2 linked regions of the Ovis aries genome follow. The protein of the gene in region 2 purifies or fractionates together with the protein of the main gene of each other region. This does not show direct contact. Links are inferred from orthologs where the notes say so. Each region holds a gene or a part of one and is shown on either strand. Other genes may lie near its edges.

Region 1 (5,076 bases), on a different chromosome or scaffold from region 2:
TATTTAAATCCAAACCTCTTCTCTTTCTAGTGTTTGACTTTGGTCAAGTTACTTTTTAACACTGAACCCGAGCTTCTGTGTGCATCGTAGGGTTGTTGGAAGGATTAAGTGAGAGAAAAAACAAGTACATAAAATCACCTTGCACATAGAAATTATTCAGTACAAGCTTTGTCCCCTCTTCCTTTGTGTATTTTCCACGGAGCTTTACATTTAAAAGGCATTTGAAGTATTTAACAAATTGAGTGTGTTTATACCTATTAAGTCTGAACCCTGGTTAAGGACGGTGTGAGGCGGGCATATTTAGAAGACTTCCACCTTGAGCAGCTAATGTTATTGTTGCTTAATATTTTATCAAGCAACTGCCTGTTATGGGCCAAGAACTAAGTTTTCACTTGCTGATATGGTCTATCTTTCCTTCTTATTATCAGAGTCCAGCTTGAAGCTTCTGCTTTGTGAAAGGCCTAGTCTTTTCTCTTTTTATAGGGCCTCTTTTCTATACCAGTTTTATCAGTGGGTGTGAGACTCATTCTGTTATGCTCTCTACTCTTCTGAAAAACCTGTCTCAGGCTCTTGGCATGGGTAAATTAGCTAGGGATTGTTAAACATCTTTCCGCCTTTTGTCAAATTGAGCACATACTATGTTGGAGTGGATATAAACAGTATTCCTGCTTCCCTAGAAGCTTTTCCTCTAGTCAAAAAAAAAAAAAATTACACACATGCCAAAATACACTTCATTATTTAGCAATATGGTATTATTTTTGTTTACTATTTTACATCTTACCATGTAAAAGGATCCCGTTTTCCCAACATACATATTACAGAGGAAGGATTGGAAAGAGATGTACCAAGATGTGGACAGAGTTTATCTCTAAGTTATGGTATTTGGGTGGTCGGGTTGTTTTTTTTTTTTTTTTTTTTTTCCTTAAACACTAGTTATCTGTATTGGCTAAATTTTCAAAAATTTCCTTTTGAAGTTATGGGAAGTGCATTACTCTCTGCTAACAGAATAGTGACCCTTCTCTTCCTCTTGCCTTCAGCTTTTGCGAGAATTGAAGCACCCTAATGTGATCGCCCTGCAGAAGGTGTTCCTTTCTCACAGTGACAGGAAGGTGTGGCTGCTGTTTGATTATGCAGAACACGATTTATGGGTAAGTCTAAACTCACTTTATTTTTAGGATAATAATTTTATATAGGTATGAAGAATAAATGTATGTGCTCCATACTGCTAATGTACAGCAAGGAAAACTTGCTCTGTTGACCATAGTTTCAAAATAAATATTCTAAAGGTAAATTTTGATTTAAAAGAATTAGAGTAATAAACATGAACATCCTGTTTTATAGTATTTGTCACATTCAGAAATTTCACTTCAAAAAATGTTCCTGAGTGGGAGATTGTAGTTTTAGGTAGTTAATGGCAGTTTCCTAATATGTTCTAGGGAAATTACTTTCTTTTGCACTGCACACATATTTAACTGTTCATATTTAACAGTTATGTGCTTGTGAATCGTTTTCCTCTCTAAGTGAAGGTCCTCTCTTGCAGCATTTTGCCATTTAAAATTCACTCCACCAAACAAATATGTACAGGTCTGCAAACATTAGGGATTTTTTTAAAACAATAAATAAAAGAAGCCAAAAATTCTAATTTCACATGTTTAAAGTTAGGAATCAAGTCATTTAAACATTTTATCCCAGGAGCTCCCAAAAGTAAAAAACAAATTCAAACTTGGCAATAAGTTCAAACTTCAGATAATTAAATTTTGATTCAATAGAATGTGGTTTGTCATTTATATAAATTATAACTCTTTTCAAAAATAACTTTAACAGACTAATAGGCCTTGAAAGAAATGTCCTTATAGCAGATCTTGACAAGAACCTCTTCTGTCACGAATATCTAGTACCCATGTTGGCATGTTTTGGGCAAATGTTGGATGGAGATGGAGGTGGATGTGGGAGTGCAGGGGGCAGGTGGAATTTCTTCCCCTCCCACAGTATAACATGTGCATAAAAATTTGGATATGATGATCCAATTTATATTTATTTCAGTGCAGTTGAATTCCCCATTTTTCTCTTCCTGCTTGTGTCTAGTGACTGCTATTTACTATTGACTACTCAGGCTATATCCTAATTTCATTATGTGACAAAAGAAGGTGGAGCTTTCCAATAATTCTGATATACATGCAGTCAGTAATGTTACCCAAATGCACTAAGTACTAACTTTATTTTATAGAACAGTAAAGATTTACAGACTTTTTTTCCCCTTTTCCTTCTGTCAGTAGAGAATACAATTAATGCTATTTTAAGGCAGGTTTTAAATTATAAACCCTTTTTACTTCTTGGTTTTACTTAATGCAAATCTTAATGGTTTCAGTAAGTCATCACAACAACCACATTAATAATGTCACATTCACCTTCAATATAGATTCTGTTTTGGTTTGAGCTTATTATTTATTTTTCTTTGTGTCATTATTGGCCTTTAATAAGTAATTTTAAAATGTACTTATTGCAGCCTTTATTGTGTTTTGTTGACACAGGCAAAGACTATGTTATTCTAATATATATTTTCTAATTTTTAGCATATTATTAAGTTTCACCGTGCATCAAAAGCAAATAAAAAGCCCATGCAGTTGCCAAGATCTATGGTTAAATCATTACTTTACCAGATTCTTGATGGGATCCATTACCTCCATGCAAATTGGGTGCTTCACAGAGATCTGGTAAGTATGTTTCTTTTAAATTGATCAGTGTTTTGTTCTCTCCTTGTAAAAATAACTTTTCTTCTTGGTACAGTTATGATGAACATTAATTATAGAAAAATTTGAAAATGCACGTAAGCAAAAAGAAGGAAATAAAAATCACCCATAAGCCTATGATCAAAAGAGTACCATTATTAACTTTTAGCGTATGTTCTTTCCTTGCATTTACACACAACTGTTAAGTGTCAATGTGGTTTTTAACAAATGACCTGCATAATCTTAATGAGATGGCTGTACGTAAAACAAATACCTTGTAATCCATTTTGTTTTTCATAATTTTGCTTACTGTTCGTAAAAATGTTGATGATTAAAGACTGAGTTCTTATTGTTTTCAAAGCTGAACTGAAATAATGACATTGCATTCAGTAAGTAGAATTAAGTAAATGAATAAATCTAACAGAGGCAATATACTTATTAGGCATATTAACCACAATTCAAATATTTGATTTTACTTTTTTACTCAGCACACACATAACAAAAATTTATTAATATCAAATTATATGTTATACATCTTTTCATTGTTATTATTTTAGTTTATGTTGATGAAATTCTTTTGTTTGTTCTTAAGAAATATGGGTGCTGAATAGCTGTAATACCCTTGAGTTTATAATTGGAACTTTTATTTTGCTTAGGCTTTTGGAGATTCTAGGGATATAGTAGGGATAAATCTAGGTCGACTCAGTTCTTTTAACTGAGGGGAAGTATTTATTATAGAAAGGAATGCTACCTTGTCAGTTAGGCCTAGTCTTCCGACTTGAGCATCTCGTGATATGGCATTTAAGTTAAATTGGGGCCAAAGGACAGCACAGAGCTGCATTTACCATTTCAACAGAAGCATTTCACCTCATAATTTTAAACTGAGGTTCTCATTGCATTCCACATATCTGCTTTACTATTACCTGTGAATCAGCATGTATGAAAATAATTCTTGGGTACATGAAGTTCTAGGTCAAACCCTCCTTCATAAATGGTTTTAGATTTTAATTTGCTACTTAATATAGCCTTGTGAGTTATATTCTTGAGGTCATATTCGTGTTTGAATCATTTATCAGAATCCTTTACTGAACGTTAATCTCAACTCTTCTTTTCATAAAATTGTGTATTTCTTCTAAGTAGGATGTGTCATTAGTGTGTTAGTTGCTCAGTCATGTCCCACTCTTTGCAACCCCATGAACTGTAGCTTTAATGAAGATTAATCTCAACTCTTTTTTTGTAAAATTTCATATTTTTTCTAAGTAAGATAGTTTGACACATTTTACTTGTGATGGCACTGCCTGCATGTCCAGTAGTACTAAAACCTGGCATAGCCAGGACTCAGTTTTCTCCCACCCAAACTCGCTACTGCTTTTAGTCCTCTATCCTGGTGATGGGGACTTCCCTGGTGCTTCAGATGGTAAAGAATCTGCCCGCAATGCAGGAGATCCGGGTTGGATCCCTGGATTGGGAAGAGCCCCTGGAGAAGGAAAGGCTACGCACTCCAGTCTTCTTGCCTGGAGAATTTCATTGACAGAGGAGCCTAGTGGGCTACAGTCCATGGGGTTGCAGAGTCAGACACACTGAGCAACTAACACTCATAGACATCCTGGTGATGGTACAACCCTCCTTCTAGCCGAGATACTTCTTTTACCACTTGCAGACCCTTGTACTCCACATCTGGAGCCTGTCTAGTCCGGTCAGTTTCCCCACTGAAGTCTCTCTTCCATTCATCTGCTGCTATTCCTATGCCTCGTTCCTAGTTCAGGCCTTTCCTATCGTTTTCTTGTAGGATGGTGCTAGCCTCTTGTCTCCTTGTCAGCCATCCTTTTCCCTTCCAGTCCACTGTAGACCTTCAGAATAATTACTCAGTCCCTGCTCAGGAACTTTGAAATAGTTCCTCACTGCTAAGAGACTAAAGCTCTCATTCCTTTTTTGGCTTCTGAGGTCTTGTCAGGTATACCTCTAGCTGCCTTAAAAATTTTTCTCCTATATCCCTATAATCTCTCACATACAGTATACTATTGAACTACTGATTATTCCTTAGATTCTCCTGAGATTTCCTGCCTCAGTGGCATTTATTTCTCTTGTCTTAAAACACTTTACCCTGTCTCCACGTATTCAGATATTACCTGTTTTTCAGAACTTGCACAAATGTTAAACTTATCCTCATATCCATCCCTACTTGGAAATAACCTGTCCTCCTTGTTGGTTACTGTTGTACTTCATCTTTGCTCCTCTTCTGGCATTTGTCTGTTAGCACCATAGTAATTTATATAGATGGCTAGAAGATGTTCTAGGCCATAAAGTTATTGACAGAGTAGGGTCAGTGGTTCATTTTGGTATACTA
Region 2 (5,734 bases):
CTCCAGCACGCCTCTTGTGCCAGTTGATACATACCTTATTCAAGCAATTACCTACATTGTATTTTATCTTATCCTGTGGGAAATGGTTCCTTTGTTGCCTTGCTTCAGGAATCTTTCAGTTCAGTTCAGTCAGTTCAGTTGCTCAGTCCTGTCCGACTCTTTGCAACCCCCATGGACTGCAGCATACCAGGCTTCCCTGTCCTTCCCCAACTCCCAGAGCTTGCTCCAACTCATGCCTATCAAGCCGGTGATGCCATCCAACCATCTCATCCTCTGTCATCCTCTTCTCCTCTTGCCTTCAATGTTTCCCAGCCTCAACCTCTTTTCTAATGAGTCAGTTCCTTGCATCAGGTGGCCAGTGTTGAGGGTTATGCATATATCTTATTCATATTTGTATCCCAGGCCTAGCACAGACCAGGAACACATTCATATGAGTGTGCTCAATAATGATTTTTTAAGGTATATTAACAGATAACATTTAGCAAGCACTGTGGCAAACCCTATGTCTGCAATGTTTCATCCACCAGACACTTTAGGAGGAAAGTACTTTTATTATCCCTATTTCACAATGAGAAAATTGAGAGCAGGAGAAATTAATTTGATCTAAAGTCAAATTTGATCCAAGATCAACTAGTAAGTGGCAGAACTCCTCCTGTAGGTTTTTGGCTTCAATATCTGAGGTCTTCACTACCATATATGAATCAATACAGGAGGAAGGCTTTCCAATCTGTGGCTGAATAAGGGGCATAGAAGAATCCACCATCATTTTACAGAGGCAACTAAGATGAAAAATTATGGTAAAGTCCTAACTCGATGATGTCTCCAATTTTTTGAATCACCTTTACTTCTTCCTCCCTCCCTTCTCCCCTCTTCCCTTCTTTTCCCCTCGCTGCTCTCTTTCCTTTCCATCTCTCTCTCTCTCCCCTTCTCTCCCTTCTAAAACTTAGGAAAAACGTCTTGAGTTCCTACTTTGAAGTATGATCCAATCAAGAACTGTAATGTTTTTTGGGAACGGAACGAATATTTTATTTGGCTCCTACTTCTTTCCATTCAGTCGCAAATTCACAAATATCAAGCACCTACTGTGTGCTAGGAACCTTTTTGAGACACTGGAGACGCAGCGGTAAAGCAAAGTAAGTGCGGGTTCTCACGGAGAGATCACTGTCAGTGGGCATTTTACATACACTTGGGTCACTTACTCCTCACAATAACCACACGAGGTAATGATGACAGCAGTAATAGACAACTCTAAGCAGTGTTTATCTGTGCTGGGCACTGGGCTTACCTACGTGTTTTCTTTGTATTAACTCATTTACCACAACAACCCGTGAGGGAGACATGTCTTCCTCATTTCACAGATGAGTAAACTGGAACGCAGGTAAGTGATCTGCTCAAAGTTCGAACTCAGGCAGTGTCACTCTAACTCCCGGGCTGTGAACCACAAGGCTATACTGTTTCATTTATGTTTCCTTCATAATATTCCAACTTTCGAGCGGCCGAGTCCGGTCTCAGAGGATCTGACGCCCAAGCCCAGGGGTTTGTGCCGCACCCCAACGGCCTTGAGGAATAAGTGAGATTGGCTTGGAATTTTTGCAGTACTTTTCTCTTCCACAGAATCCAAACTGATTTCAACGTAATTCTCAGATTTGTGATTTGAACCCTCTGGTACTGTCAGTTGCCCGGTAAGGAGAGAGAGAGAGGGCCAGGGCCCGGGTCATCGCACACTGGCCGGGGCACCCAGCAGATGGCGCTGTCTCGGTGGCCAACAGCCGGCTGCCCCGTCCCCCGGGGCTCAGCGCCTCCGCTTGAAAGCTTCCCGGCCCTCTCTCACTCCCTTCTCGCTCCCCCTCCCCACGGAGCCTGGGCCCACGTGACCTCGAGGCGGCCAATGGGCGAGCAGAGAGGGCGAGCTGGTCCCTGTGGCCGCCATTAAAGCGAAGGGAAAACCCGTGAATTCGGATTAAAGGGGGAAAAACACCGCCCGCTGGGCCCACAAAATGGGGGAGACTACGGCGTCCCGGCGGTGAGGCCGCAGGAGAGCGGACGTTAGGCCGGTCTGGCTCAGGGACGACACGAAGACACAGCCAGAGAATGGTCTGAGCCCGCAGACGCCGCCACCAACCTCCGCCACTGAGGAGACTCTGGGCTTAAGGACATCGCCGCCGCCGGGCCGGGGGCCTGGGCTTCTCTCCCGGCTCTCGCCCTTCCCGCCCCTCTGCGGGCGCCTCTCCGCCCCGGGAGCAGCCTCCGGGGCTCGGGCTCTGCCCTCTCGGACTCGTTTTTAATTATTTATTCTGTAATTTATTATTTTTTTCTGGTGGCAGGGGCACACATCCCCTCCGTCCCCCGAAGAGGGACGAGCGTCCGCGGGCTCCGCGGCGGCCGCAGCCCGGCCGGCGGGGCGAGCGCGGCGCGGCCCTCCCGCCTCCGGCCCTCGGCCCCGGGCGGCTGGGTGCCGGCCGGGCGGCGGGGGCTGCTCGCGGCGGCGGGGGGGTGGGTGGGGAGGGCGGGCGGCCCGGCGGCCTCCTCTTCCACCGCCCCCCCAACCACCACCCCCCCGCCCTCCCCGGTGTCTGTTTCTCTCTCTGGTCGGAGGCGGCGGTAATGGCGGATGGTGGGTTGTGGCGCCGGCGGCGGCTGCTGTGAGGGACGATGAGTTCCTCCTTCGTGCCGAACGGGGCCAGCCTGGAAGATTGTCACTGTAACCTCTTCTGCCTGGTGAGTGCCGGGCGGGGGCCGCGGCGGGCGGGCGGTGGGGGAGGGGCCGCGAGGTGCGCCCTTGGGCCGTGGGGGAGGGGGTCCGGGTCGGATCCAGATGCCCGAGTCCCCGGGCGAGGCCCGGCCCGAGCCGGCGCCGCGGGAGCCCCGCGCCGGCCCGGAGCCGCCGGCCCGGGCTGCCCTAGGAGCGTCGGCCTTTTCTCCCGTTTCCGACACTTTTCTCGCCCGCGGTCCTGTCTCCCAACTTGGGCTCCTTTCCTGGCAGGACAGCGGCATTTCCCTCCTGTGTTGCTGGCTTAACTGTTGCTTGTCTCCTTATTGACCGTGTATCCCTTTTCTGCCACTTTCTATTATTGCCCATTCTCTCCCACTGCCTGGCTCTGCTCCTCTTATTTTCCCCCGATAAACGAGACCCCGGAACTTAGCACTCTTTTAATTTTACGTGCTTGTTCTTTATAAAGATGAGCCAAACTGTAGGGGGTTCGTTTGTTCCTTGGGTGACTTCAGACTCTTAAAAAAACAGTGAATGCCATTCCGTAGTTTTTCTTTTAAACTTTGAAAGCAGTTGGAGATTTTGACAGTCTCTAGCCGACTTGCTTTTATTAGAACATTAGGTTTGTGAGAGTGGAGCGAACTTATGGAAGAGATGCTATGGTTCTGGACTAAATATTTTTATACAGAAGGCTGCTCCTCTTATTGAAAAGTCAAGGGGAAGCTGGCTCTACGGATGGCAGTTGTGTTGGTTGGCCCCGGTCTGGGAACATCTGAATAAAGACTTTAAAAAGTACCAACTGTTGCAAATACTCAGTCTGCAGTTGGATAGGAGCTTAGCTTCATCAATGATTTGAAGTTTCGGTAACTTTCTTTTTTTCATTTTCCCTGTCCTATGAGGAATATTAAGAGTGTGTGATAGGTAAGTGAATTGAGTGGGCGGAGCACAACTAGTTGGCAAGTGTAAACTGCCAGTCATGTATCAGCAGTTTCATTTTTGGCACCTTAAGCTTGCACTTTTAAGTTAGATTAAAAAATTACTGAATTCATGCTGATAATTTCTTTTACGATACTAAATTGAGATCTTGAATGCCTTTCCCCCTTATAAAATGTTTCTTGTACAATATCCATTAATCAGCATCTCTTCAGATATAGTAGACAAACAGCAGGTTTTACATTTCTGTCTTCTCCAACTCAGTCTATTTTTGGTACTTTTAGGATCGGGTTCTTTGAAGATAAGACTAGCACAAATCTGACAGTTCTTTGTGAGCAGCTATTTGACTTTTCCTTAAAGAGATATATATGTAAAGATTTAACAAGAATGTTTTCATTTGTAGTTGAGATTTCTTTTCCTTAAAGCTGTGACGTCTGTAAACATGGAATGATGAATCTTTAAAAGTTAATTTTGTAGTAAGTTTGATACCAAGAAACAAATGTAACCAGTAAGAACAGAATTTAGGACTGAGAGCAAATGTTTACTCAGTGTGCAGTATTAAAGTCTGTGTTTATATTTAACATTATTAAAGCTTTTTAATTTATCCTTGGGACACATTTATTGACTTGTATTCAGTGACATGTCAGTATTAATTTTTTCAGTGTCTGTTCTTTTCCTTTAATTTTTGGTTGTTGAATTATCAGAATAAACTCCCCCCCCCCTTTCTTTTTTGGTCAGTTTGTTTTCAGTATCTCAAGGATATGTTGAAAAATTGTAATGTCTTAATGAAATAGGGGACTTTAATAGTGAGGACTTTCGATTTTGAGTGAATATGCAATAATAAAAAAATCATACTTTGTTTTCCTCAGGCTGACTTGACGGGAATTAAATGGAAGAGATACGTGTGGCAAGGCCCAACTTCTGCCCCTATTCTGTTTCCGGTGACAGAGGAAGACCCCATTTTGAGCAGTTTTAGTCGCTGCCTTAAGGCAGATGTACTTGGTGTTTGGCGGCGTGATCAGAGACCTGGAAGAAGAGAATTGTGGATATTTTGGTGGGGTGAAGACCCCAATTTTGCTGACCTAATTCACCATGACTTATCAGGTGAAAGCAGCTTATCATTTCTAACTTAAAGATATAGCAATGTTGTATACTTTTCCTAAAAACATTTGTATTACAAATGGAGATTTTTTTGGTGGAACATTTGTTTACTGTGAAACCAGACAAAAATTCAGCTTCATGTTTTATTTCACTGCGGTTATTTTATTTTACTGAAAATTATGCATTTTATGGCAGGTTTTTTGAGCCTCGAATAACTATTCTTTCTTCCACCTCCCAGCTTTCTCATGAATTTCTGGCAGACAGCCCAAGGAAGGCATGTTAGTAAATAAAATTAAGAAAAATGGAATTGGGGAGCATTTCCTAACAAAGTCAAAAAATACTTTTGAAACCATGTGTAACTCATCTTTGAGTCAATTCTGCTACTACTCTCTTCTGTGTAAATAAGCACACAGTTGTAGAAATATCTGGAAATATTGTAACTTTCTCATGTGCTTTTTTTCCCCCCTAGGCATATAGTTTTTTCAGTATTTTTATTTGTGGTTGTTACATTATTAACAAATCAAGGCTTATGTTAATTTTCTTATTCTTGGAATGTGATTCTTTTATTTTAGGTACTGTTCCATCAAAGACTGTCTTTGATATGAAACAGTGCCAACTTGTTTAGCTTTTACAGTGGGACATGTGTCATAATCTGAAAAGTTAGGGAAGTAATTTTATTATGAGCAAATTGATAAGATTACTTCTGTCTTATTTTCTTGATATTTAGGACCAAATGTTACTTTCAAAAGAGAAACTATAATTCTTCATGTAATACTGAAGCTTGTGTTTACTTTAGAGTCCATGTTAACCGAATCTTTGATGATAAGAATGTAAATGATTAGTTGTTTGCTGCAATGTACCAAAGATTTCAGTATGATGTAACATAATGAATCTTGACGAGAAAATTGAGGATTTTTAGATAACTGAAAAAGTTTTCTTATTGGAAATCAAGTACTCTGGAGTTTCTATTATTGTCTATTTGATCTATAG

Evidence for each region. The genes of interacting proteins can lie anywhere in the genome.
Region 1: the proteins of MED13 (region 2) and CDK19 purify together in Homo sapiens (affinity purification with mass spectrometry; 6 studies listed by BioGRID and IntAct, counting the BioPlex papers as one, with this or other methods). This does not show direct contact. The link is inferred for Ovis aries from reciprocal best matches to the Homo sapiens genes MED13 and CDK19.

The regions. Positions count from the first base shown.
Region 1 is NC_056061.1:26,908,346-26,913,421, forward strand, and holds part of CDK19 (cyclin-dependent kinase 19), read left to right. Parts: intron 1-1,037; coding exon 1,038-1,148; intron 1,149-2,573; coding exon 2,574-2,714; intron 2,715-5,076.
Region 2 is NC_056064.1:10,737,256-10,742,989, forward strand, and holds the start of MED13 (mediator of RNA polymerase II transcription subunit 13), read left to right. Parts: upstream 1-1,919; 5' UTR 1,920-2,652; coding exon 2,653-2,718; intron 2,719-4,512; coding exon 4,513-4,747; intron 4,748-5,734. UniProt on the Homo sapiens protein: Component of the Mediator complex, a coactivator involved in the regulated transcription of nearly all RNA polymerase II-dependent genes.